4 linked regions of the Astyanax mexicanus genome follow. The protein of the gene in region 1 purifies or fractionates together with the protein of each later gene. This does not show direct contact. Links are inferred from orthologs where the notes say so. Each region holds a gene or a part of one and is shown in the gene's direction. Other genes may lie near its edges.

The links.
Region 2: the proteins of ppp1cc (region 1) and ruvbl2 purify together in Homo sapiens (affinity purification with mass spectrometry; 3 studies listed by BioGRID and IntAct, with this or other methods). This does not show direct contact. The link is inferred for Astyanax mexicanus from reciprocal best matches to the Homo sapiens genes PPP1CC and RUVBL2.
Region 3: the proteins of ppp1cc (region 1) and pfdn6 purify together in Homo sapiens (affinity purification with mass spectrometry; 4 studies listed by BioGRID and IntAct, with this or other methods). This does not show direct contact. The link is inferred for Astyanax mexicanus from reciprocal best matches to the Homo sapiens genes PPP1CC and PFDN6.
Region 4: the proteins of ppp1cc (region 1) and pdrg1 purify together in Homo sapiens (affinity purification with mass spectrometry; 6 studies listed by BioGRID and IntAct, counting the BioPlex papers as one, with this or other methods). This does not show direct contact. The link is inferred for Astyanax mexicanus from reciprocal best matches to the Homo sapiens genes PPP1CC and PDRG1.

The regions. Positions count from the first base shown.
Region 1 is NC_064408.1:10,500,866-10,508,229, forward strand, and holds the start of ppp1cc (serine/threonine-protein phosphatase PP1-gamma catalytic subunit A), read left to right. Parts: upstream 1-4,350; 5' UTR 4,351-4,584; coding exon 4,585-4,639; intron 4,640-7,364. UniProt on the Homo sapiens protein: Protein phosphatase that associates with over 200 regulatory proteins to form highly specific holoenzymes which dephosphorylate hundreds of biological targets.
Region 2 is NC_064408.1:15,128,970-15,136,734, reverse strand, and holds the start of ruvbl2 (ruvB-like 2), read left to right. Parts: upstream 1-4,746; 5' UTR 4,747-4,864; coding exon 4,865-4,876; intron 4,877-6,404; coding exon 6,405-6,459; intron 6,460-6,621; coding exon 6,622-6,677; intron 6,678-6,796; coding exon 6,797-6,938; intron 6,939-7,208; coding exon 7,209-7,338; intron 7,339-7,765. Other genes in the region: ftr83 (finTRIM family, member 83), read left to right, coding at 2,210-2,736. UniProt on the Homo sapiens protein: Possesses single-stranded DNA-stimulated ATPase and ATP-dependent DNA helicase (5' to 3') activity; hexamerization is thought to be critical for ATP hydrolysis and adjacent subunits in the ring-like structure contribute to the ATPase activity.
Region 3 is NC_064417.1:45,648,096-45,655,475, reverse strand, and holds the start of pfdn6 (prefoldin subunit 6), read left to right. Parts: upstream 1-4,363; 5' UTR 4,364-4,522; coding exon 4,523-4,586; intron 4,587-7,380. UniProt on the Homo sapiens protein: Binds specifically to cytosolic chaperonin (c-CPN) and transfers target proteins to it. Binds to nascent polypeptide chain and promotes folding in an environment in which there are many competing pathways for nonnative proteins.
Region 4 is NC_064431.1:7,233,013-7,240,368, reverse strand, and holds the start of pdrg1 (p53 and DNA damage-regulated protein 1), read left to right. Parts: upstream 1-4,332; 5' UTR 4,333-4,568; intron 4,569-5,199; 5' UTR 5,200-5,268; coding exon 5,269-5,346; intron 5,347-6,133; exon of another isoform or gene 6,134-6,206; intron 6,207-7,352; coding exon 7,353-7,356. UniProt on the Homo sapiens protein: May play a role in chaperone-mediated protein folding.

The DNA.
Region 1 (7,364 bases):
ATTGATTACACCTGTGTACACCCATATATATATATCTTCACTATACACACACCCTACTAAATATTGTAAGTTTAACACATACACATACAACTTGTTTATCCCATTGCCTGTGTTACCCTCTTGTGTAAAATTTTGTTTTGTTTTGTTTTTTTAATTCGGCTTCTGCGTACCATTTGATACCTTCTGCTCGTGTATGACCTCATGTAGAACTGAATCTTTTTTATGGTATGTTTGCTCTCTGTTGCTGTTGTATACTGGTGTTGTCCCTTAACATTTTGACTATCCCCTGTACCACTACTTTCATTAATAAACCATCTTATTTGTATCCTGTAAAGCCATCACGGACAGTAAAATGTCTTATCAAACATGAAACCTTTTTATTTAATGCTTGAACAGAAATCCTCCAGATTCAGGCATGTAATATAAGGCAGAAAATTGTCAAAAATGCTGGCCTGTTAAGGGGTTAACCAGCTTAACCACCTTCAGCTGGTCATGCTGTTTATTTTTCAGCTGGGTACAGGGCAATTCTGGTGTCACACCACCCATTTTTAGGTGTTTAAATCCTATTTATGGTAACATCTCAGACTTGGAGGCAGGATGTAAATGCAAGGAGGTTTTAATAGATGCCATAAAGCAAAATAGCAAAGAATAAAACAAAGCTGAGACTAGAAAAGTAACTAAAAAATATCTAGACTAAGATCATACTTTCAATAACTGAAGAAAAACCACTAGCAAAAACATAATAAAAAAAAACACTTTCAACACCTTCAGACCTGAATTATGTTTCAGTGACAGAATATTATATGAATGCTGTTTTCTGTCTGTAATGTATGCACAGAAAGACAACAAAACAACAAAAACATTAAATTCATTTTAACGTCCATTGTATTGGATTGCCTGTTAACATTTTTATTTTATTTATGATAATGACTTTGATAATAACCTCCTGTAAACAGTGAAATAAACGTAATAAAAAGTTCTATCACATAAAATTAGGAAAAAAGACCCTAGTGGTGGGCGGGAATATTCTACTGTTTCATTAGCTTGCAAACTTCTTATTGACTGGTTCATGATCTGTTCTGATGGACAACAGGTCTCAATTAGTGTAATGTGCAGCAAAACATCAAACAAAAATAAATGATGTCCATTGCAATGGACACAGGATCTGAAACAATGTTTTAACTAATGCAGTGTATAACCAGTAGGTGGCACAAGATCTACATCTATTCATTTTCCCATAAGCAGCTGTGTGGAACTCACCTGAGATCCTTCTCACTAGAGTTAACCACTGAAAAATAGGCTCGAGCTGGATAAACTTACTGACCAGTTCTGCTCTTTATTTACATAAAGTAAGCATAAACAAGCAAGCTGATCAGCATGACCAGCAAGACTCATCAGGTCAACCATCACAACCAGCTTGACCAACATCACTATTCTGGTCAACCAGCATGACTGAAATGCAGCAGTACACACTATACTGGTCAAGATTTGGTTCCCCAGTTTTTGATTGGATGGCCAACATTTCAATCAAACTCAACTCAACAACTCAACCATCAAAGGTTAGCTTAGACTTCAAAAATACAGCCTTCAGCAAAAGCATGAATTGTAAATAAATTGTAAATGTAAAAACGTGTTTTTATTAATCATCTTTCAAATCCAAATGCTATAAAGAAATAAACACAGAAATTAAACCTCTGCTTTTGAGTTGGTTTTGTTTTCTGTTCTTTTCTAATAAACACGGACACTTGCAGATACTCACAGACGTTTATTTGATAAGGGGATAGGCTTACAAGAGTAGTGAGGGGCAGGCAGGGTCAGTAACAGAATGGCACGAATGTAAACAACATACCAGAGAAAATTATCAGGCAATCTAGGGTCATCCATGAAAAATCCTGCAAACAAAAAGAAGAAGGCAAAAGGGAGTCAAATATACAAAAATAAGGTCGGTAGCAAGGTAATGAATAGAATGGGCAATGGTAATATAAAACAGGTTGGTAAAAAAAAAAAGGAAAAAGCCATGGGATGTGTCATAGGAGAGCTAGAAAAAATAGATTACTAAATACTCAGCAAAGAGCGAGCCAAACTAAGGGGTATATATACAGGGAAGAGCAGGTGAAAACAATCAATAGCTTGGAGAGCAGGAACACTGTAGCATCACGTGATCAGTAGTGTGAGAGAAGTCCAGTGTTGGGTGTATGCTAGGAAATGAAGGTTTTAGGGACAAGTTCAGAGCCTGGAGCAGACAAGCCAGATGGAGAAAAACTAGTTTAAGTGATTGGAAAACTTGCATTCCTCATTGGAGTGAAGAATTCAGGGTGCTTTCAATGTTTGAACAGGCAGTAAACATCACTTTGAACTGCTAATTGCTGGTTAACCGCCCGACCCTTTTACATCTGAAAAACAGCACAAAAACATATTATTATTATGTCTCCTCTCTACAGATTAAATGTCTTTTATTATTGTTTTTGTCTACATGATAGCCTTTACAGTTATCTGCATTTCTGCATGAATGTGATTAGAACCTTCTAAAAGAAGGTAAAGTAAACCAAATAAAACAAATGCTGCAATAATATTAATGCTTTTACATTTATTTATGAAATAAAATTGTTGAAAATTAAATATCTTTGTTTGAAAAAGTATATGAACCATTGCTTTCAGTAACTTGTGTGACTTGAGGCTTGGGGATTGGAAAACATTTTGTATTTCTCCCAATTTAACCAATTATTAAGCTGCATTTACACTGTACTGCCATGTCAATGCATATAAATGCACTGCCCCGCTCCAACTGGTTGCATGTGGGCGTTACAATGACATTTCGTGGGTTGTACATTTAAATCAATTTAATAATTGTTGGTTAATGGTTTAATACAAGCTTTATTTCCTATTTCCTATTATTTTCCTGATCAGAGTCCCTGTAAATCAGCAGGGATTGATCATAAAAGACTGGAAAGCCCGAAAACGCAATTTCTATCGTTTCCTCCATGCATTTGAAACCGTTTAAAACCATTGTGTTCGATAGATCCATTTGCATAAACTTCACCTCGCAGTGGAACAGTGTAAATGCATTACACAGCATTAAAAGATCCAATCATGTATTTGGGGTCATCGTCCTGCTGCATGACCCACTTCACACGAATCCATACAGATCCATTGACCATTTCTAAAGTTGTAATTTCAAAAGTTAGATTTTGACTGACTCTTTTGACTGTCTGTCTGCCCGTGCCTGTATACGTCAGTGTTGATGCTGATTAAGGACATTATTCAGAGACTCCATGTAATGATATTCAGCTACTTTCAGGTGTCCCCCTCACTGCTGACACAGGCTTGTTCAGTTTTGTACCCGCAGAAAGAGGAAAACATTGGCAACAGAATGGGATGCTCTGCACATGCTCTGCAAGGTCACAGTGTGCCTAGAACAAAACACTAAATAAACTGCTCCACAGAGCTGACGGATGTTTTAGTTGTAGCTTTAATCTTTAAATATAGTTCACCTATGCTGTTTCACTAAACTGACTACATTTAAATTGTTTACACACATTTTTATAGCTCTATGAAGTAAATAAAATATGATTTTAGGTGTGTATTTATTAGGATAAGATTGGGTGACACTATTTGTGGACACCCCTTAAACCCCAGCTTAAGGTGTATCAATTGCTGACACTGGATGTTTACACCAGGAGTGGCATAAAGTTATCCAAAAGCAGTGTGTAAGACTGGTGGAAGAGAACATGCTGAGATGCATAAAAACTGTGATTAAAAAACTGAGTTATTCCACCAAATATTGAATTCTGAAACTCTTAGAACTTTATAAATATGAACTTGTTTTATTTGCTTTATTTGAGGTCTGAAAGCTCTGCATCTTTTTTTTTTGTCTCAGCCATTTCTCATTTTCTGCAAATAAATGCTCTAAATGACAGTATTATTTTATTTGGGACTTGTGAGAAATGTTGTCCGTAGTTCATAAAATAAAACAACAGTGTTTATTTTACTCAAACGTATACCTATAAATAGCTAAATCAAAGAAACTGATTCAAAAACTGAAGTGGTCACATAAAGTGTCATTTGATTGTCTTAATATTAATTTACAATGTAGCAAATAAATGAAATAAATACAGAAAAACACCTAATGAGAAGGTGTGTCCAATTTTTTGACTGGTTCTGTATAGCTACTGTATTATATAAGTTATATTAATACATTAATAATTTGTAAACTGTGCACTATTTTGTGTGTAGATCCGGTGCTGTAGTAAGGCTGACATACAGGACAGTGCACTGCGAAAGACACTGCTGCCTCCTCTGTCTTGACCAGTGTATTCTTCCGCCACGCCGGCGCCTGACATACGTATTCCTCCGCCCCCGCCCGGCGGTCGACTCGCAGGCGCAGCAGCGCACGGAGGCTGAAGCCGCTCAGGAACTTCTTAAGCTAGCTGAGATAAATGAGCCTGAAACACGTTATTTAGCGTATATTTCAGCCTATAAAATATATAAAACAGGTTTAATGAGGCTTTAGCCGCACATTAGGTGGTAGAACGGTAGATAGGACTATAAGAAAGGTGTATATTTGTGTAGTTTAGCTGGCGAGGTATGGCCGACATCGACAAGCTCAACATAGACAGCATCATTCAGCGCCTTCTGGAAGGTAAGCTGGCTAACTAAACTCAGATTTTAAAGGTTTTAAAAGCTTAATATGTTGAACAACAAGCTAGAACATATCTCACAAGACTGTATATATTTTTAAATAGGATTATTTGTGTGTTAAATTCTAGCTTAAATAAGGGTAGGGGGTCTGTAGCCAGCAGGGTCTAAGCTAAGCTAGGTTAGCTAGCTGGTGGTTAACCTAGCTGACTGTTAGCTTTTGCTGTCAAGCAGGAACATGTTAATAATAAATATCGATGAAAATTCACCCCTTAATTCAGTGTTTATTAGTCCTTTTATAAGTTTTAGTTGTGTCTAATTTGATTACTATTATTTTAAAGACACGATATAAGGAAATAAACAGAATTATTGCCTGTTAACGCAATTTTTAGCTTTGAAACGTAGGAAAATTGACGTATTGTAGGCTAGCTAAATGTCTATAGACGTAGTTTTATTGTCTGAATGCAGTTAACGTTATATATTGTCAAGCTAGTTTTTGTGTTTAATGTTTTAGGGTTTTTCGGGGTTTACAGTTAAAATCTAACTAAGCAATTTATTTTATAAAAGCAACAATATAAAGTAACATAGTAATGCAATTTATGAACTAGAAATATTTGGAATTTGCTATTTTAAGATATTTCTTTCGCTGATATAGATAAGTGACTATTCAGTAGTAATACAAGAAAAACTTTTTATTTAAAATAGCAAGAATAACAGAGTAAGGTCTATTTTGTGGAAGATATATTGTTCCAGAAAGTATTGCAATAAACGATATTATTGTCATTTTAAGACCATTAAATTACTTAAATAATAAGAACAGAATAGGATAACAAAGCATTTAAACACTTTCAAAGACAATACAATTTTAATAAACACATGACTGACTTAAATCATATTAACCAGCTAATTTGAGTGTTTTAAGTGTTTTAAAATTTAAATGTAACTAAACAATTTATTTAAAAAAGCAAAAATATAAAATAATATGACTATACAGTAGAATATCAGTAGTGTGGTTTAATTAATATTAGTACATTATTTTAAAAACTAAATATGAGGAAATGCTCAAAAAAAACAGTAATAAAAAAAAATAATCTGAATAAACTGGGTTTTTTTTTGTATAGGAAATATAACAAATGAACAGGCCTGTTATTATAAAAACAAATTGAGGATGACATAATTGTCCCAGAAATTATTGCGATAGATTACATTTATTGTCAATGCCACGTAAATAATGCGAATAGGACATCATCATAACAAAGCAATTAAACACTTTAAGACAACACAATTTAGTAGTCTAATAGTTAATAGTTAATCTAATAGTTAATCATGATTATAATACTAAAATACTGTTCACTGTTATGTATGTGAACAAACATACAAATAAACACAAATGTTTAATCATGTCCATTTATTGTTATTTTAAAAACAAGATATGAGGAAACGCACAAAATGAAAATATGTATTTTTTTATATAAAATAGCAAAAATAACAGAGTAAAATAAGCCTGTTGTGATCATTTTTTTTGTAGACGATGTATCGACCCAGAAACTATTGCGATAAACAATATTATTGCTATTTTAAGATCATTAAATGCCATAACACTGGCATAATAAGAATAGGATAGCATAACAAAGCATTTAAACACTTTCAAAGACAACACAATTTTATTTAATAATAACTAAAATACTAAAACTCTTGACTGTTGTATACGTGAACAAATATACAAATAAACACAAAAGATGATTATCACAAAAATTAAATGTGTAATATCGTTTTTTTTTTTGGTGCTATTATATTCACAAGGCGATTTGCTTGTTTTTAGGTTGTGGGTTAGTACTGGGCTAGATATTGTTATTTGTGGGATTTTTTGCAGGTCGTGTTGTAGACCAAGTTGCAGAATATACTGCAATTTAAAACTGTATAATTGTATTATTTCTTATGTTCTATTATCTGACAGTTGGCAAAACACTTTACTGACACTTGTACTATGTATGTGACCAATGAACTTTTATTTTTTGTTAAAGAAAACCTACATATAAAATAGCTATAAACAGAATAGGTGATTAGTAAAAATATTGGGTCAGTTAAATAATATAAATACTTAACTAAAAATAAATATCAGTTGGAGGCTGAATGGAGGATGAATATATTAATTTGGCTGTGTTTGTAACCCAATATGATTCTCTGTTTGTCTAATTAAATGTTTGCATATAACATATAGTTGTTGTTAAAACTTATGCTAAAAAAGTACTAAAATACTGAGGCTGACTTAAGTCAAATAACATTTTGCTTTTTGCAGAAAAAAAATTCTATAAATTGACAAAATTATTCTATTTAGCAGCTAATAAATGAACAAAATCATAAAAAGCAGCCTGGGCATCAGTGAATTGTTTATTTTGTTTTCAGGTTAAGCTGATGGAAGTGGAGAATTATTCAGTGAATACTTTATGCTTGTCTTTTTGGGTGGCACTGCAGGGGGTAGCCGACCCACTTTTCTACATGAGATTTGTCCTGTTTAAAAGCTCGGAGCATCTCTCACATCAGAGCTAGCGATGCTGAGGACTGACCAGCAGCTCCAGCAGATTCACTGCTTCGGCTGTACTTTTGGTTCCTGTGTGTCCTGCAGAGCTGGTGGACTATTCCTGGTTTTGGTTTCAGAAAAACGAAAGATGAACCTTCCAGTTTCCTGGAAGAAAATTTACAAGGGGACTGACCACAGCAGTCAGGAA
Region 2 (7,765 bases), about 4.6 Mb from region 1:
TAATTGGTCTTGTAAATTAGGGAGAAAATGGGATATAAATTAGAAAAAAAACATAAGGAATAATCTGTGCACTTTCAAGGCTCTCAGTGCCATGTTTTAAATGTCAGGGCTCTTGGATTTGCACTAATGACGTTTGGAGCAACATTGAGATTGCTAATGGTGTAAAAATGGCAATTTCTTTGCATGGGTAACATTATGTCTCTCTCATATTATTTTAGTATTGAAAGCCTGTTGGGAGCATCTGCTAAAAGCTGTGTATTTCAGAATGCTAGGGGTACTCATTATCATTTTTCAATACAACCCAAGTCCATGTCACACTGGATTTCTCCTTTAAGCCACCAGTATTGCGTGTAGCTCGGCCTATCCCCAAAGATTACACTTATAAACAGACTGAAAAATGATATACTGACATGCCAAAAATTTGGCCTGATAGTGGGTGGCATTGAAGATTCCATAACTTACAGTGTCATGCTTGTGTTGGGAATTTGTAATAGAAGGCATTACCTCCCACAGTGGACAGTTCAGTAGGTGTTAATGATCGTTACCAGCTAGAATATTTTATTCACAATAGATGAAACAAAAGAAGCAACTCTAGCAGGAATCGCATCCATATTCAATACAGCAGACCCCCCACATACACATATACTGCAGGTTTGTTCAGCGTTCTTTAGCTTCTATGACACATGGCAAAAGTCATGGGACATGATACTATTTTCTGTCCTATTACTTTTGGCATGTATTTTTGTGTAAATTTACTCATATCTGACAAATGCAGCAAATTTACCACTATTCATATATTCCATTGTAGCTGCCATAAATGTGCAGTCAGTCTAAAGTGTATATTGCCACTCTCGGCCCTCTAGATCAGAGACGGCCCCGTGGTTCATCTGGCAGCCACCACCACCTAATGTACAACCAGCTTTGAGAGCCGATGAGGTGGGCAGACTCTATACACTTCACCTGCTGTCTGTGGGCTGGGCCTGTACTCATTAACTTTTACTGTATCAGCTCTCTTTCTGTCTGTAATCATCTGAAATCATTTAACAATAATGAAAAAAAAATGATCTCAGGTCACCACTCCTATTTTAAGGGTAGTCTTTACCTTCAGGGTCTGTTATCTCGGGTCTTTCTCGTCTTGAAACACTTGAAAGTGGGGATTTATCGTTGTTTTCTTTTCTCAGTTGTGAAATGCTTAAGTGTGGGTTAACATAGAGGCATCCATGTTTTAACTTAATCCATGTCTATGTGGAGCTTGGTATTAATAATATTTATAAAACTGTTTAGAGACACAGAATCCTTTATAGAGCTATAACTCACTTAATGTTTGTACATAGATCAAGATTCATACATTAATTAACACAATGGTGTATTCAGTCCTGTTATATGGTATGATTATTAATGTCAATGCCTGTAAAATTCTGTATGTAGGTCCAGATAATAATTTCTTACTCTATAACTGGATTCTTTAGATATTTCCCAAAAGTGATTTCCCAAGCAAATCGCTTATACTACTATTTATCAATTTCAACATTAAGTATGTTTCATAGCCTGCAGATATTTAGCCTGCAGATATTTTTGTCAAAACTACAATTTAAAAGTATTTATTGAATATTTAACACTTTAATATACTAGCAGATAAACCAACATAGCGTAATATATTTACCTCAGCAGTGCTATTCAAAGAATAGCGGAGGTATGTAGGGCTGCCACCTCTGCTCAAAAAACCCTAACTCTAGAGAACATACTGCAATACGACTTCAAATAAATGAGTATAATTTATTATTAGTTATTCACATTCCACTCTTTTTGTATGAATATTTTTAGTTGCGTCCCTAATTGCAAGTGATGTTTACATAGTTCATCTAAAATGAGGAAAATATCTGTTTTCCTGTTCTCAACAAAAGAACATAAAATCTTTTGTCTCGAAACACATTTAGTGTCACTGCCACAAAAAAAACTTGTACCGTATCTCTAAAAAGCAGCTTAAAGTCTATATCAGATTTTTAATGAATAAGTGAGTAAAAGATTTTATTCATAATTATTTAAAGCATTTCTATTGGTAAATTTATCATGAAATTCTAATGCAATATAAATCTAAACAGCCTAATTTTATTGAAATTAGCCAATTTGTATTGTAGCCAAATTATACTGAAATCAGCTAAATTCTCCAGCAGTAAATAGCTGTGATTTCTCCTGTTCTGTCCAACAGATGCCAGCCAGCTGACTCTGGACTCTAACACAGCCTACAAACAGCTCTACATATCCCGAGGAAACAGGAAAGCAGCCCTGAAGAGAGACCCTCAGTCCTACAGTGACAGCGCCCAGAGATTTGACTGCCTTCCTCAGGTTCTCTGCAAGGAGGCCCTGTCCGGAGGGGCCCATTACTGGGAGGTGGAGTGGAGCGGGGAGGGAGCCTCCTTTGGCATCACCTACAAAGGAATCAAGAGGACGGGCTACGGAGATTCGGCCCGACTTGGCTACAACCGCAAGTCCTGGAGCCTGTTCTGCTCCGACTCCAGCTATTCGGCTCGCCACAGCAAAGACCAGGTGGAGATTAAAGCTCCCTACTCGTCTCGCATCGGGGTCTTCCTGGACTACGATGGAGGCACTCTCTCCTTCTACAATGTCTCTGAGTCCATGTCACTTATCCACCAGTTCAAGGCCTCCTTCAGTGAGCCGGTCTTTCCTGGCTTCTGGGTGTGGTACGAGTCGGCCATCACTATTTGCCAGTTGTAGAGCTGTTTGTGTGCTAGGGTAGTATAAGAGGATGAAGAATTGCGTAATTATATATTTTTGATCATTATAAAAGAACAGATTTTTTTAATGTCACTAAAAATCCACTTTCTTTTTCTTTTCTTTTTTTTTAAGGAAAATACCTGTGTATGATATTTGTCAAATTACATGTGTGACAATGTACGTGTGTTTCAGAGCCAGTGATTGTATTATTTTTAATATACTATATACTATACAATATTTTTAATATACTATACTATAAATACAGTATAGACAAATGCTCCAAATGTCAGCTTAAATGTAATGTAACTGCATATTAATAATGTTTTATAAACATGAAGAAAGCTAATAATCAGAATGTACACTATTGATTTGTGTGTGTGTGTGTGTCAAGGCACCATTGTTCTGTGTGCACAAATGGAGAAATCAAATAAAGATTTATGAAATGACAAAGTTATTGTATTTGTTTTTATAATAATTATTATATTATGTAGTTACAAATGAAGGAAAGCTTCATTCTTGTTGTAGTCAATCAACAAACTAAACAAACCACCCCAGCAAATAAGTACAAAGTATGTGTGAAAAGTGAGACAAGCTTCAGGGTAGATTAAGTAAATAACAAGAGCGCCATCTACTGGTGCCAGACGCTACATTACAAATGGCACCCTATATCCTATACCAGTGGTCTCCAACCATAATAAAAAATCCTCATCTTTCTGCAGACTTTGCAGCCAATCCTATTTCACTCCATTAGATTTAGCTAATTACCTCCTTCAGAAGTTCCTGAGTTGCTGAATGGGGCATATTAGATTTGACCTTGTTGAAATCTGCAGGAAGAAAGCTGGCCTCTACACTAAAATACTGTGCTTTAAAGGAGCAATCTTTTTGTGTTTTAGTCTCTGGTCCAACCCACCGCCCATTCCCCAATCCTATTTCCACACCCTGGGTTGCCAGGTATTCAACACAACAGCAAACACAGCTGTGTGGAGCCATGGAATTAGCCAGTAAGATAAACTGGTTTAGCAGAAACAGCTTTAGCGAGATGCTACCTAAGCTAAAAAAGTCTCAGCAAGTGATATGACCAGAGACAGAGTACAATGCAAGCAAATACTGGCAATGCATTTGATAGTTGGAGACAGCTTAGAGCCTAGAAGGACTTGTTTTTGTCAGTTCAGTGTCCTCAACTTGACAACCTGTCTGAACAAAACAACAGAATAAAAAAATTAATTGAGATAATTGAACGAATTAAAATATTAGGAAGAAAAACATATTAGAAGAGTAAGTGGTGGGATAAAATGATTAAATTAAGATTTAATTAACAAGAGAATAATATTTAAAAAATAAAAGATAAAATCTACATGAAAAAAATAACAAAATATTGAAATAGCTAATAAAAAAACACTAAAAATGAATGTTAATACAAAAGGATAAAATGTGTATTATATACATATACCTGTAAAAACTTGTCTTGAGGTGCTGAACAATAGTATTGCCTTCAACCAGCAATATAATTAATTAAATATGATATAATTATATAATATATAATATAACTATATAGTATAAAGTATAATTATATTCATAATTCAATATAAATATAATTCACGTAGACGAAGGACTAGAAATATAAAAGAGGTGGTCTCAATGTAAGCATTCTCTTCAAAACCAAATCTCCTTCTCAGGAATTTACTTTATAAATAACCACAATTATAAAAATGTAAATGATGGAACTAAAATAAATAATAATAATAAGTAAAAATATATTAAGAAAATAAATAAAATAAAATAAAATAAAAACGTAAAGGTCAAAAGTAAAAGCAGTAACAAAACAAATAAAAAGATGAAATTAATAAAATAAATAAAATAAAAGGGCTAAAAGGTAAAGCATAACATTAGATAAATAAAAAAAACAATATATAGTGAACTTCTTTCACTTTGGGAGCCACCGGAAAATATGTATAATAGCATGATGTTTTTAAAGTAGGAATGTTATCAACAGTACAGGTGTGTGAGTTCAGAGTTGAGTGGTAAACGAGTGAGGAGGAACTGTAGTGAATCTGTTTGCTAGACGAGCGCATTTCGGCTGCGCACCCATTCAGAAACCGCCGGCCGCGAAAAGAGAGAGAGAGAAAACATGGCAGCGCAGGTGAGAGCGAGATTCTCTGCTTTAAATATAGACTTATTATTCTTCTACTAGCTCTTATTTAATGGCCTAGGTCTATATAGAAACTGTATTAATGTGTGTAAAGCTTTAAATCTGCTGTAGAGAGAGACGGGGCTTTTGTAAATATCTGAGTGCGAGTTAGCGGGTTAGCGTAGCTTCCTGCACATGTGTGTACCTGCCCCTCACTGCGCTTCTGTACTGTATATACAACTAACTAACTATTTAAACACTTAACCTGCGGTCTCTGATCATTTCTGAGTGCCTGCCCCCTAGCTGATCTTAACAACTGGCTCGTCTTATTTAGTTAATTTATATTTAGCTTCAGTTAGTTAGCTTGGTGTTAGCATGCTAGCTGGCTAAGTTAGCTAAAGCTAGCAATTTGACCATCCTACAGATAACTTACATTACAGTAAACAGCTCAGCATATGGTTCACTGACGCTAGCTGACACTTTCTCTGTTAATATTAAACATATTATTGTAGCTACATTATGGTTTATAAAGAGTAATTTAATTTAGTTGTGCTAACCGTATGTAACGTTACTAAGTTAGCTAGCTACTGTTGTGGCTCATGTGTCACTATGGCAACATGAACTGTTGAGGCACGCGCTGCAGTGCTTAATTAACTAACGTTACCTAACTAGTGACTATAAATGTGATTTTGTCTTTTGTTATAGATATACACATGTACATATACACAGCTCTGGAAAAATAAGAGATCACTTAAAAATGATAAGTTTCTTTGATTTTACCAAATTAAAAACCTCTGGAATATAATCAAGAGGAAGATGGATGATCACAAGTCAAGATCACAAGCCATCAAAACAAGCTGAACTACTTAAAATTTTGCACCAGGTGTGGCATAAAGTTATACCAAAGCAGCGTGTAAGACTGGTGGAGGAGAGCGTGCCTAGATACATGAAATCTGTGATAAAAACCCGGTTATTCCACCAAATATTGATTTCTGAACTCTTAAAACTTTATGAATATGAACTTTTTTTGTTTGCATTGTTTGAGGTCTGAAAGCTCTGCATCTTTTTTGTTATTTCAGCTATTTCTCATATTCTGCAAATAAATGCTCTAAATGACAAAATGTTTATTTGGAATTTGGGAGAAATGTTGTCCGTAGTTTATAGAATAAAACAACAATGTTTTTTTAACTCAAACATATACTTATAAATAACAAAATAAGAGAAACTGATTCAGAAGCGGAAGTGGAGTTTTTATTGTACTTTATAGACTTTTTTGTACTTTAGAGTAATCTAAATTAGTCATTAATAATTTAAATTAAATCAGTTAAATTACTTTAATTAATGCGTATGTTGAAAGTATAGAAATGGAAACTATTTCTATCCAGACCTTGGTACATGATGATGGACATCATTTGTAAGTTGAAAATGCTTACAGGTAAAAAGTGTATAAAGACTTTATACAGTTGGTTATTTTTCATGTAAATGATTTATTTCTGTGCTTTGGTGCCTAATGATTTTTTTTTCTTTCTGTTTGTCAAAGATGGCAGCCACGAAAGTGCCCGAGGTGCGAGACATCACCCGGATAGAGAGGATTGGTGAGTGATGATGATGGACATTAGGACACATATGACTAGAACACACATGATGCATGCTAAATATGTAGTCTAGTGTTATGTAGTGTAACCGTTAATTCTCTTGAGCTTAGAACAAATTATTTTTTACTATGGATAAAAATGTTTTGTTGTCTGGGGTTTTAGGTGCACATTCACACATTCGAGGCCTTGGACTAGACGATGCTTTGGAGCCACGGCAGGTGGGTCTGCGTATACTGGTTTTCTTCATGTGTTTTGCACCAGTATGTACAATAATTATGTTTGTGAACTGGATAGTTTGTAATGATTTTTGTGGATTTTTTTGCTCTGTGCTGTTCAGGTTTCTCAGGGGATGGTGGGTCAGCTGGCATCTCGGCGGGCTGCTGGTTTAATCTTGGAGATGATTAAAGATGGGCACATTGCTGGCCGTGCTGTGCTCATCGCTGGCCAGCCTGGGACTGGCAAGACTGCTATTGCTATGGGTATGACTATTTGTATTAAGAACAATTGCCTTATTTTCTGTTTATTAAAAGTGGACAGTTTCCACTGTAATTCCTATTTTATATACAATATGGGTCAGTTTCCCTAGTCCTATACAACATGTTCCTTTCAATGGGAAATCTTCACTTAAGATTCAGTGTAGTCAAAAAACTAGGCTTAAATCCTGTCTAGGTAAACTGCCTTTGATTAATGCTGCTATTACCTGATATTGTGGGACCCATCAATGACAGTCTTTTGTTTTGGTTGGACAGGCATTGCTCAGTCACTTGGATCTGATACGCCTTTTACTGCTTTGGCTGGGAGTGAGATCTTCTCTCTGGAGATGAGCAAGACAGAGGCACTCAGCCAGGCCTTCCGCAAAGCCATCGGAGTCCGAATCAAGTTAGTCTGACTGAGGAAATAATGTAACGTCTTGTCTATATAGTTTGCCTTAGCAGTAAGGAGTAGTAGATTTTAAGAGGTAACATTGTAATTTCTGTATGCCCCATCCAGACCTGCCAACACCAATTTTGCTTAACAGTCTCGCATTTTGACCTCCTAATATGCTAATATGTACAATCCCATGTTCTAAAGTATGCATATCGTTTTGTCTCGCATTTTCCATGTTAGTCTCAAATTTGACTGTTGAGTGTATTAGCGTCCGCTCACAATGTTGCGCTGTTTATCAACGCTGATTTATGTCCAATTAACATGCACACTAATCCTGCAAGCTACCCAACGAGCCATTACATTTTTTCCTCCGAATGAAAAATATCAGCACAGCGATGCCGTGTTGACATTTTTCAGTCTCTCTCTCTCTCTCTCTCTG
Region 3 (7,380 bases), on another chromosome or scaffold:
GTTGGATTCTGAACATCCTGACAGGCCAACAGCAGGTGGTAAAAATGGGTGGAATCACATCCTCTTTTCTGACACTCAACTCCGGAAACCCTCAAGACTGTGTGCTCAGCACTGTGCTCCTGTACTCCCTGTGTACCCGTGACTGACTGCACAGCCAGACATAGCTTCAGCTATACACCTGTGGGTGGGCCTGATCTCATACTGTGAGAAGGAAACTTACAGAGAGGAGGATGGCCTCCCAACACACTGGTACCAGAAAAACCACCAGGCTGATAAAGGACTGATAAACAAACTAATTCTGGATTAGGGATGCACTGATATGGGAATTCTGGGCCGATATTACACATGTACACACCATCTGCCGCTGCCAATGACAATACGCACATTTATAACTTAAAACAGAGAGAATATAAACCCTGTTATAACTTTAACTATAACAACTTTAAAAGGAATAATTAAAAAAAAAACACTTTTAATTAATTAACTGAATAGCGTGACCCAGAATTCATCCCATCATCCCAAATCATCCATCTCAGCTGGATTTTTACTGGTTAACATTTTTCTGTTTACTACATAATTCCACACATGTGCCTTAATTTTTTTCATGTCTTTAAAATGTATCTAAAATGTTGATAATAAATTAAATGATTAAAAACACTTCATGAAATTGTGACTGGTACAGCAAATATTGTGCATCCCTATTCTTGACCATTTCAATCGGTTCATTCATCATACAATTTAAGAACAAGAACACAGCACCACAGTCAAATAATGACAAAAAAAATATCCTGATGTTATGAAAGTGCCTAAATTTAACATACATGTTTTATGTGCAGTAGTAAATATCCTTTTTTTAAACAAATTTCCCTATTCTTTCTTATACTTCCTTTCTTACTTTATTCTTTTGAATGCCTTGCTATCCCATTGCTTCTATTACAATGTGAATTTCCCTGCTTGGGGACTAATAATGACACCCATATCTTACCCTATTGACAGTAAAAGATTTATTGTTTTAATTGTGAGACCAAACTTCTGCATTCCACTGTGAATGTTGACACATTTTACGTTCTTTTTAGTGTTTTTAAGTGTTACCGTTTTTCTTAATTATTTACACACAAATACTGGTAATTGAGGCACACTGACTACAACATGTAACCCATGTACCAACCCCCTGAACTTTACACTCAAACTGCAGTTCTAAAACAAACTACACACAATTTTCATGAAGAAAAGCTCTTTTTATACAAAGAACGAACTGTTATTCAAAAAACTCTAAAGGTAGTTACCCTACTATGCACCGACTCTTCACATGGGCAAATGCCTTTTATACAGATTTACAATTACAAATACAGCTTTAGCATTAAAGAGAAACAAGTGAGCTCAGCCAAATTTGAGGTACACTGTAGCATCCATCATCTGAGAAATCTACTCTCACTAGAAAATTGCAGTGATGTATATCAAAAGAGTATTAATGAGTGTAGTAGTACAGTATTGCCTGTGTACTGTTCTGCAAAAATAAAGTATGTTTCAATTATTTAGGAAATGTATTCATACTTTTTGTTCTTACACATTATTTACAGTAGTTTACTATCTGTACAGTTTATTTTCATGTCTGGATTCATCATGCTAGGGCATATTTCCCCACTGCGTATCCAGGGAAAACTGTGCTTGTGATGTGGATGAGGTGCTGTGGGCTGACTGAAACAGATGCAGCATATTTTTTTTTTTTTTTTTTTACTTTAACTGTATACAGTAAATTCTTCTGTTGTTTTGTATGTAGACCACTGTACATGCAACTGTGTGTTGGTTGGGATGTAGACTGTCTATAATAAAATATTATATATACATTTTTACTGTGTATTTGTGTTTTCTGAGTATAAAAGTAATATTATAAAATATTATACAACACAAATATGTATGTACTGTCTGTAGTAGGAATAACATTAAACATAAAAAGGACTAAGTCATTATGATAAATGGAGAAGAAGTGTTTTCCATTCATCATGTTTTACACTGAGCACATCAGTGTTTAACTGGTTCTTATAAATATCTGTTCATATGACAGTTTATGTGTGTTATCTGAAAACAAAACACCTTTTTGACAAGAGATAAAAATATTTGCCTATCGTGTGCGTTTTTTTTTTTTTTATTTGTGTAGAGTTTTGAGAATATGAGGCAGGCTTTCAAAAAATGTGTATTAACAATCTGGAAAAACTGTGAGTGTAATGGCTTTTTTCTGAGGGAGAGATACAAGCTAGGAGTGCTAATATAAAGCTACAGTATGTATAACTGGACTAGACTAACTGCTAAAATATCCAGCCTGAGAGCTTTAGTTTAAAAGGACAAAGGCAGTTGCTGTTATCCTAGTTAACTGGTCTTTACAGTGTGTGTTTTGGGGTGATAAAGGGTGTTATGTGTAGTTCAGGCCTGTTTTGAGGAAAAATAGGGTGTTTTATGTGATATGGGATGTGTTTTTTTATGTGTAGCTTAGGTTTATTATGAGGTGATATAGGGTATTTTATGTATATTTAATTGTCAAGGTGGTTGTGGACTGACTTACAATTTGCTTTACTGTTTTCTCAGCACAAATGTAAACCACTATTAACAGATACGCTGCTTGTACACCAATGACAACATATACACATATATAAACACACAAGAACACGTGGTAGGCAGTGTTAACTACTACTGAGTGTGAATTAAAGCACAATAATAACACTGCTGTGCAATAAACAACACTGACCAGTACAGCATCCACCAAACCCCCTCTGTCTCCCTGCAGCCAGGCCTCTCCTCAGTGTAGTAATATTAATAATATTACAGTAGAAAAGCGGGAAAAAGCAGTAAAAGCAGGAGGTTACCTGTCAGAGCGACTCCTCTCTTCACAAACACCCAAAGACCTTCAGACTCTTCCCTCAGTGCCTCCTTATTCAAACCATGTGAGCTGCCATACTGCCGCCCGCTGACACGCTGAGAGAGAGGGGAGAGCGGGGAGAGCGCGCCGCCTACAGAGCAGGAGGAGCAACACTGCTTACACTTACAGCAAACACAATACATTTACTTCTCAAGTAAAAAACACAAGTGTTTTTTTTATTATTATTTTGTAATAAATTTATAATAGTATAATAAAAACAACTGGACATTTTTGAAAAGCAAAAAAGTTCTTCATTAATAAAAAATCTTATAATTGAAGTGCATATAAAATGATTAAAAAGACCAAATAGATAAAAAAAAAAAAAATTGAGGTAATATAGTGTGCTTTATGTGTATTCTGTGTGTATTTTGGGTGATATTGGGTGTTTTGTGGGATATGGGATGTTTTTTATGTGTAGCTTAGGTGTAATTTAGAGGTGATATATATTGTATGTGTATTTAAATGTGCTGTATGTGATATGGGGTGTTTTTATGTGATATGTATTGTGATATGTATTGTGATATGTATTGTGATATGTATTTATGTGATATGTATATGTGCGTTTTTATGTATGTTTTGAGGTTATATATGGTATTTTATGTAAAATGGGGTGTTTTATGTATATTTTAGGAGGGGGGTTGAGGAGATAGGGGGTGTTTTATGTATATTTTAGTTGTGTTTTGAGGAGATATGGGGTGTTTTATGTTATATAGGGTGTTTTATGTGTAGCTTAGGTGTATTTTAAGGTGACAGAGGCAATTGTATGTGTATTTTATAAGTGTATATGTTTAATTGATATAGAGTGTTTTATTTGTTTTATGTATGTTTTGAGGTTATATAGGGTATTTTATGTCAAATGGGGAGTTTTGTGTATATTTTAGGTGTGATTTAAGGAGATATGGGGTGTTTTATGTATATTTTAGGTGTGTTTTGAGGAGATATGGGGTGTTTTGTGTGATATAGGGTGTTTTATGTGTAGTTTAGGTATATTTTAAGGTGATACAGGCTATTGTATGCATATTTTATAAGTGTATATGTTTAAGGTGATATAGGATGTTTTATTTGATATGGGGTGTTTTATGAGATATGTGGTGTTTTATGTGAATTTTAGATATGTATATTTTTGAGGTGATATAGGGTGTTTTATTTAATATGGGGCTGTTTAATGTGATATGTGGTGTTTTATGTGTATGTTAGATATGTATATGTTTGAGGTGACAAGGGTGTTTTATTTGATATGGGGTGTTTTATTTGATATGTGGTGTTTTATGTGTATTTAGATATGTAAATGTTTAGGTGATATAGGGTGTTTTATGTGATGTGGGGTGTTTTATATGTAATTATGTGTGTTTTGAGGTTATATGTGGTGTTTTATGTGTAATTAGGTGTGTTTTAAGGTTATATGGGGGTATTTTAAATAGAGGGGGTGTACTGCCAGTAAAGTACAGCAGGGGGAGATCTGACTCTGCTACGGTGCTGGTCGCAGAATGAGTGCGTCACTCTGACTGCGCTGAGGGCTGGTGTGCATGGTTGAGGGTGCAGAGGGATTAATCCGGTTTATTTACTGTTGAATTAAACACTTTTTAACTGTTTATAGCGCGCGGCAGCATGGCAGAAGCAATACAGAAGAAACTGCAGGCTGAACTGGAGAAATACCAGCAGGTCCAGAAAGGTACGGCTGTGTGTGTGTGTGTGGATCGATTTCGCCTGTGTGAGAGAAACACACCCTGTATGGTAAAACCGATTCAGCCTAAAATAACCCAGTAATACAGGTCTAATTCTGTTTTACTAATAAAAACTCTCATCAAATCATTAATCAGATATAGAACTTTTAGTGTAGTAATAATATCAGATTTACTGATCTCTGAAATCATTCGGACTAGTCATATTACCAGCAACACAGAACGTGCATGTAATATTACCGCGGTCACGCCATCTGCACTTAGAAAACGCTCGGTCGCGCTATCCACACCGAAAACTGGAGTGCGCGTCTAAACCGTGTTTTACTGTAGCAGCGTGCACAGCGCACCCGGAGGAGCGGAGACTGGCGCTTCTCGTGCAGAGACTTAAAATGGAACAGAAACGAGTTTTACACCTAAATAAACATGATTTAACGAGGTCTAATCCACAAATATACACCAGAAAGACCACTTCTTATCTGTAGAACAGTGTAACGTTTTGAAAAGGTTTGGAGTGTTATTAAATAAGCAAATCAAATTGTTATAAAATCACAGCCCTAAATTCTTAAAGATCTTATTCTCATGTATCCCAGATATATGTTTGAAGTGATATTACTGTATCATTTTTGAGTAATTGAATACCAAAACTATCTATTCGGTTTTGTATAAAAGGGATTTTGGAGTGCTATAAAACCAAAAAAATCTAATTCTTCTTAAATCAGAACATGAAATCCTTAAATAATACCTTCCATACTATTAATGTCATGCATGTATACTGATTGTACAGTATCATTTTGGAGTAAATGAATACCAAACTTAGGAAAAATGTATATTCGGTTGTGCATAAACCAGATTTCGGTGTCCTATAAAACCTTCAAATCAAATTGTTATCCAATGAAACCAAGAAAGTCTTGAAGAAAACATTCCATTCTATTAATGACATGAGTAACAAGTGATATTACTGTATCATTTTGGATTAATTGGATACCAAACTTGGAAAAATGTCTATTCGGTTGTGCATAAACCACATTTCAGAGTCCTATAAAACCAGCAAATCAAATTGTTATCCAATGGCACTAACAAAGTCTTGGAAAACACATTCTATACTATTAATAACATATATATCAAGTGATTTTACTGTACCATTTTGGAGTAATTAAATATCAAACATACAAAAATGTTAATTTACTTTTGCATAAATCAGATTTCAGAGTCCTATAAAACAAGCAAATCAAATTGTTATCCAATGCCACTAAGACATTCTTGAAGAACACATTCCATACTATTAATGACATGAGTAACAAAGGATATTACTGTATCATTTTGGAGTAATTGAATACGAAGCTTAGGAAAAATGTCTATTTGGTTGCGCAAAAACCTGATTTTGGAGTCCTGTAAAACCAGCAAATTAAATTGTTATCAAATGCTACCGAGACTGTCTTGAAGAACACATTCCATTCTATTATTAACATGAGTAATAAGTGATATTACTGTATAATTTTGGATTAATTGGATACCAAACTTAGAAAAAATGTCTATTCAGTTGTGTATAAACCAGATTTTAAGGTCGCATAAAACCAGCAAATCAAATTGTTATCCAATGCCACCTAGACAGTCTTGAAAAACACATTCCATACTATTAATGACATGAGTAACAAGTGATTTTACTGTACCATTTTGGAGTAATTAAATATCAAACATACGAAAAATGTTGATTCACTTTTGCATAAACCACATTTCAGAGTCCTATAAAACCAGCAAATTAAATTGTTATCCAATGCCACTAATAAAGTCTTGAAAAACACATTCTATACTATTAATAACATAAGTATCAAGTGATTTTACTTTACCATTTTGGAGTAATTAATTATCAAACATACGAAAAATGTTGATTCACTTCTGTATAAACCAGATTTCAAAGTCCTACAAACCATTGAATCAAATTGTTATCCAATGCCACTGATAAAGTCTTGAAAAGCACATTCTATACTATGAATGACTTGAGTAACAAGTGATATTACTGTATCATTTTGGAGTAATTGGATACCAAACTTAGGAAAAATGTTTATTCGATTGTGCAAAAACCTGATTTCAGAGTCCTATAAAACCAGCAAATCAAATTGTTATCCAATGGCACTGACAAAGTCTTGAAGAACACATTCTATACTATTATTGACATGAGTATCAAGTGATTTTACTGTATCATTTTGAAATAATTGGATACCAAACTTGGAAAAATGTCTATTTGGTTGTGCATAAACCAGATTTCGGAGTCCCATAAAACCAGTAAATCAAATTGTTATCTAATGGCACTAACAAAGTCTTGAAGAACACAGGCTATACTATTATTGACATGAGTATCAAGTGATTTTACTGTATCATTTTGGAGTAATTGGATACCAAACTTGGAAAAAATGTCTATTCGGTTGTGCATAAACCACATTTCAGAGTCCTATAAAACCAGCAAATCAAATTGTTATCCAATGACACTAACAAAGTCTTGAAGAACACATTCTATACTATTATTGACATGAGTATCAAGTGATTTTACTGTATCATTTTGAAATAATTGGATACCAAACTTAGAAAAAATGTCTATTCAGTTGTGTATAAACCAGATTTTAAGGTCGCATAAAACCAGCAAATCAAATTGTTATCCAATGCCACCGAGACAGTCTTGAAAAACACATTCTATACTATTAATAACATAAGTATCAAGTGATTTTACTTTACCATTTTGGAGTAATTAATTATCAAACATACGAAAAATGTTGATTCACTTCTGTA
Region 4 (7,356 bases), on another chromosome or scaffold:
TTCTCCCTGAACCAATCTTTGGTTCAAGAATGACTTGTGTGCTAAGGGTTGTTGTCTTGCTGTATGACCCACCTTCTCTTAAGGGTGTACTCACACTAGGCCCGTTTTGGTTGAATCGTGCCGGAGCACGGTTCGGCCCCCTCCCCACTCCCCCGCAGGCCTGCACTCACACTGCGCTAAACGATCCGTGCCCGAGCACGCTTTCGTCAACAGGTGACTTTTGTTTTGAAGAACAGTATGCGCGCGCAAAACAATGGAGTTCAGGATTGTACTGTTGTTTTTGTTTCTCTGGAGTCGTTTTGGGCGTGCAAATACGCAACTGAACCAGAGATTCATTGATTGTGCAACACAGCGATTTACTGCTAATTGTGCTGCACGTGTAAGAAGGTTTTTACACAAGCAGCAGACGTCCAGGGAGAAATTTGCAGCTTTACTCGCGGACTACAATTCACGTTTATCAGTAAGGTAAGAGACGTACTTGCTATATACATAAATAGTGACCAAAGGAGCGAAACATAAAACTCAAGTAATAATAAAATGTGTTTGTTGTTTAGGACTTGTAGATAGTAGTCCTAATTTATTATGGGTAACACTAACCATTATGGTGCTCTTTAGAACCCTTTTCAAAAATATTATATGCAGAATTGTGTATAAAACGTCCTCCGTTTACAGTAGCATCGCATCACTGACGTCATCTTGATCCGGGTCCAAGTGAACCGTGCTCGGGCCCACCTCTTCAAGCGGGCCCGGGCACGGTTCGGAGCGATCACACTAGCCAAACGAACCGTGCTTTGGGAGGTAACCGTGCCCGGGCACGGTTCGGATTGCCTAGTGTGAGTACACCCTAAGATTCAGGTCATAGACAGATGTCCTGACATCTCCCTTAAGAATTTTCTAATATAATTCAGAATTCATTGTTCCATCAATGAAGGCCAGCTGTCTAAAACCATGTTACTACCACCACCATGTTTCACAGATTTTCATTTAAACCAAAAAGATCTATTTTTGGTTTCAACCGTCCACAAAATATTGCTCCAATAGTCTTTTGGCTTGTCCATGTGATCTTTAGCAAACTACAGATAAGCAGCAATGTTCTTTTTGGGGAACAGTGGCTTTCTCCTCGAAACACTGACATGCACTCTATTGTTGTTCAGTGTTCTCCTGAGGAGGGTCCAAACTCCACCTTTTCCAGCCTGATGGACATGAACAACTTATCTTTTGAGGTGCTCAGAAATCTCCTTTATTCATGCCATGATATACTTCCAAAAACATGTGTTGTGAAGAGCAGACTTTGATAGATCCCTGTTCTTTGAATAAAACAGGCTCTGCCCACTCACACCTGATTGTCGTCCCATTGATTGAAAAACCCTGATTCTAATTTGAATTTCACCTTCAAACTAACTGCTAATCCTAGAGGTTCACATACTTTTACCACTCACAAATATGTATATATATGTATATATTTTAAATAAATAAATGACCATGGATTTTTTTTCTCCTTTGTTTAACTGGGGTCGGTTTATCTTCTTATTGGACTTATGTAAAAATCTTGTGATGTTTTGGCTCATATTTATTTTAAAATATAGTAAATTCTAAAGGATTCACAAACTTTCAAGCACTGCTGTATGTTGCTTGTATTTTTTTGGTTATTTTGTTTTGTGAACAAACAGCCAGAGCATGTTTCTCTTCCTTTATCATTGCTAGTTATGTTAATGTTACAGTTATTATTTAATGATACTGATGTTTTAGTGTAATTCACTTATGTTTAAGATGAATGTGTATTTTTCTAGGAGATATAATAAGTTGAAGTGCAGCTTGGAAACAGATTATTTTTGGCAATATTAATAATTCAACTTCCTCTGTTACATGACTGACCCAAGACTGCCACGATCAGAAATTGGGACTGAAGCATTCCAGTTTTACAGCAGATGATAACAGTACCTCACAAAATTAGTCTTCATCACAGCACACTGTATTTCAGCACACTGAGGAATGTAAATGTGTGTCATTTTCTATTGCTGTTTGTTATTCTTGACTATGACTTCTTGTTAAGTAAAAAAAATGCTTGTTTGAGGTGTTTTGTGTATTTTTCAAAAACGTTGTGCTTTGTTGTACAATTAACAAAAAAATACAAATACAACAAATTGCCAAAAGACATGGGATAGCACTATGTTCATAAAGTTAATCATGTAGCGTTACCTCAGGGGATGGCTTGGGAACTCCCAAACCTGTAAAAGTTTTATTTTGTGAGTGATGTTGAACACTAGACATTGTGCTCATGGCAAGGCAGTGTGAATTACACTACGTAACAATTTTGCATATATGTTTTCTTCCCAGATGTTTGTTGTTGTTGTTTGTGCCTCAAGTGAATAGAAATAAGGTATTATTCCCCATAAACTTGCTTTTGTGGTCAGCACAATGAGATTTTAAATGTATTTATTATTAAGAATATTCACGAAATATAGCCTTTGGCCCTGTCCTATATCGCCCCTTGGCCCTACCACTTATTTATTTAGTTATGAAATTTTTAGAGGCACATTTAAGGAAGCATTAGGAAGATGGCAACACAAGCGACCAAAGAAACACAAAAATTTAAGTATTTTCCTTGTAAAAAAAATTACAATTAGCACTACATTACCAACTGTTTAATCTGTAGTTGCAGTGTTTTATGGACATTTTCTTTTTCTCTGAATGCCGTTACTAAGGACAGTATAAGGAGAACATGATGGAGGGTAGTTTATGGACTAATACGTGAAAGTAATTTGCAGTTTAGTCATAAATCTGTGAAGACAACACACTTCTGAATGTTTATTGTTATCTTGCAAGGCATACTGTTGCATTGCATAGTAGTGCACATTATTACAGAAAGAACGGGCCGAGAAAGTGATCTGCAGTACAGTCTGCATATAGAACATATATTCATTTTTGAGCTATTATACGCAGCATTGATCAAGTTTTATAATAATTGTGTATTTTTGTAGTGAAATGTTGATTGTTTCTATGATAAAGCACAAGTCCAATTCTTGTATTTTATCCCAATAAATATAAAACTAGCATAGGCTACTGTCATAAAATCAAAGTTCATGAGGAATGTTGGTGTTTTTTATTGAGTTTATATGTAAGCAGTTGAAATATAACAGAACTCGGGAAGAAAAAATGTTTTATATTGTGTTATTACTCGACGTGAGGCCTGATAGTGTGACTAATATTTGGAAGGTTTGATATTTGTTCTGTGGATTTAAAGAATACACCAGTGAACTTCTGTAGGTCTTCCACATATCACTGAAAAACAACTCTAACCAGCTCTGGACTCTACAAGACCTCTGAAAGTTGTCTGAGGTATTTGGCACCAAGACGGTAGCAGCAGAGCCTTTAAGTCCTGTAAGTTGCAAGGTGGAGCCTCTGCGGATCAAACGTTTTGTTTCAGCACATCCCACAGTGGATTGCTTTGAGAGCTGGGGAATTTGGAGGCCCGAGTGACACTTTGAATTTTTGTGTACCTTAAAACCAGAGAAGTACTTCACTACTGTACTTAGATACTAAAATGCCGTATCTAATGAAGTATTATTTTTACTTCTCTACTAAAATACTGGATCTGTATCTACTGGAGTATTCTTTTTACTCCACTACTGTACTTAAGTATTAAAATGCTGTACCTGTAGAGTATTATTTTTTTCTCCTACTTCCACTTTTACTTCAATACATATTTTGTATGAGTTTTATATTTTTACTGTTATACATTTTCTATGTGCTGCATCGTTACTTGTTACAATTATAAAAATGTTAGGAAAAAGGACACAAAAACTATAATGATTAAAAGCCTGTCATCCAGAGAGAGAAACATTAGAATACAATGTTTTTAATCTAGAAATAAAGGTCTCCTTCCGCTAAAATCCACTTTTTCCTATTGCTCTCTGAGTTGTATGTCTCATATAAAACTGTTTCTCAGCCTCCATTGTCCGCAGTAGCTAGTAAAAGAAAATCCTCAGAAAAATGAGTCGATCAGGAAAAGCTGTCTACGTCAACTTGTGAGTTCATGGCCTTGCCAACATTAGCTCGGACCGACCAACACCGGTCAAAGCGGGCGCCGTTTAAGTTTAACAAATAATCATAGTAATTTTGATAATTGTATTATTTCTTATATTAATTTACCCTGTTGTGGTAAAATATCAGTAAATAAATAAAAAACTGTTTTCTGTAGAAAAATGGAAATGTATAAGTCATACCTGTCAAGTCTCCCGTTTTGGCCGGGAAACTACCGTATTTTACTCCTCTCCTCCCGTATTAGTATTTTCCCGTAAATTTCCCGTATTATACTAAATAAAAAAATATATAGGCCACAGGCGACAATGCACTGACCGCTGTGTGTCTCTTAACCAATCGTGGTGCCGGTTCAAGGAGAAAGTCCCGCCTTTCAGGAGAAACAGCCAATCAGCTTGCTGGTTTTGCGGAGAGCTGTTTAGTGTGGGGGAAGCCCCGCCCCTCCCCTCGCTGTGAGTTCAGGCAGCTAGTCGGAGCAGCTGTCGTTAAAACTAATCTGGATATACGGAGATTTTTCTAAAAGAAAGGTAACTAACCATGTAAACTGTGATGAGAATGTATATTTTCCTCTTTCAAATAATTTCTGTATTATTGTTTTTAATATATTTCTATATGTGTATTTTTAACGTCTGTTACATATATTTATAAATCGTTTTCTCATTTATTTATTCACTTATTTATTTCTGTATTTCTTCCTCCGTATGGGAATTCATTATTTTTGTTTCAAAATTAAAGGATGATCCTTGCTTAGTAGATATAAAAATCTTAGTTACTAAAGTTTTTAATTAGTGTATTTAGCCGTTTAGCTCCATTCACTCCTATTCATTTAGGTCTCGCTCGCGGGCTCTCTCTAGTGTGCAGTTATAATGTTATAATTTATAATTTATAAATATAATTATAATTATAATTATATAATTATAATTAATTATAATTATAATTTGATATAATGGGACCGATAGGGAGTGGGCAGGCTTTTCATAAACCGGCTCTGATAGTACCAATCTCTGTGTGTCTGTGTGCATTAAAGTTCAACTATTAATATGAAAAGGTAATTCAGGGTGTAAAAAGTATTTTAGGCATGATTGTGTGTCAGTAGTTACTGATTTTTAATTTTGAAACTGGGCGGAACTGATTATCGCGCGGTCCTTGTTTCCCCAGACTGGGGGACTTATTTTGTATAATTACTCGCTGTGTGAGGAGCTGTGCTGCTGCTGCTGTAGGAGGGAGATGGACTCCAGCAGGGTGATGGAGTATCTGATGGAGGTAGAAGTGGCAGCTGAAGACGTGCTCGCTGATAAACAGCAGGTAACTAGATTAATAACAGCTGTTAAACATCAGATTACAGCTCATTCAGAGCGGAGCTGAGCCTGTTGTAGTTCAGCTAACTATCCCTGTAGCCTAGCTAAGCTAACCAACACATATAGGTGCATTTCGTAAAATTAGAATATCATTGAAAAATTACTTTATTTGAGTAATTCAGTTCAACATATAAAACTCATGTATTATATATACAGTATATGTATGTATATATATATATATATATTACACACAGAGTGATCTATTTTAAAAGTTTAGTTCTTTTATTGTTGACGTTATGATTATAGTCTATAATCATAACGTCAACAATAAAAGAACTAAACTTTTAAAATAGATCACTCTGTGTGTAATATATATATATACATACATATACTGTATATATAATACATGAGTTTTATATGTTGAACTGAATTACTCAAAGTAATTTTTCAATGATATTCTAATTTTACGAAATGCACCTATATGTGTAGGTTAGCTTAGCTAGGCTACAGGGATAGTTAGCTGAACTACAACAGGCTCAGCTCTGCTCTGAATGAGCTGTAATCTCCTGTTTAACAGCTGTGTATACAATTGATTATTACAATATAAAAGCTGCTAAAACTAAGCACATCACCTCTGAACCACAGCAAAAAAAACAGAGCCTAGAGCCTACTTTAAAATAAAGTAAAACTACAAATGTGCACAGTAACTATAAGCTATTATTAATTAAATTAATAATAGCTTATAGTTACTGTGCACATAAGTCTTCCTAATGTGTGGCCTAAAAAGTATAATTAGGTCCCACCGAGATTCGAACTCGGATCGCTGGAGTCAAAGTCCAGAGTGATTAACCATTACACCATGGGACCGGAAATGCCTTTACCACAAAGTTGTAGAAAAGAGCTGATCTTCCTCTCCTAAATATACAGAAAATAAGCTTGGTCCCTGCTCTCCTTCACTATCGCTCATTAGTATAGTCCTGATAAACGATAAGTGATTTGCAGTGGACTCTGTCCCCCTTTTATAGACTCTCGCTCTGATGCGTCGCAACAAAAAACACAGTGGATCAACACCAGCAGATGACATGTCTCTCCAAACCATCACTGATCATCAGTACATTTTACATTTTATTTGTAAATTAAGAGACCAGAGTCTGGAGGAAGAGTGGAAAGACACACAGTCCAAACTGCTCGAGGTCTAGTGTGAAGTTTCCACCAATCAGTGATGGCTTGGAGAGACATGTCATCTGCTGGTGTTGATCCACTGTGTTTTATTATCAAGTCTAAAGTCAGTGCAGTGTTTTCCCACAAAATCTTACAGCACTTCATGCTTCCCTCTGCTGACAACTTTTATGTATTCTGGATCACTGCAATTTCAGAAAACAACAAAGTCAGTCAATATTGTCAGAGTGAACTTGGCCTCATTCTTGGCATTACAGTACAGTACTGCCTAAAATAAAAAATACATTTTATGTCTTAATTGAATTTGGATGAAATGATAGCCAACATTAAGATAGCTGATAGATCTCATAATATTGGCTAGCCAGCTAACTGCACTAACATTTCCACTGGAAAAAAAAACTGTCTTGTCCTGTAAAGAAATGTTCACATACTTTCTGCTTCTTTTTAAAGAATTTCCTCAAGCTCACTGTGTTTCTGTGAAGGGAGCAAATATCCCCAACAGTTGATCATCAATCAAGAATATCCCACTGTTACTTAAAGTAATAATTAAGGCAAACTATTATGGTATTGTTCTTTATTATTGTTTCCTCTTATGTAAAAGAAAATGTCCTCAAATCACTGGAACTCTAGCAGCTGTACCTAATAAAACCCTGTTCAAGGGAAAACTCTTTATTTCAGACAAAGTCAGTTGCAGCAACATAAATCATTCCCACATTTGGTATTATAAGTTGTGGTTTAGTGTTTTTTTTTTTTTTAAACGTGTAGTTAATACAAGTATGAAAAGAAATCTGAAAAGAAGTGAGTTACATTTAACCTAACATTATCTCAATGCAGATTG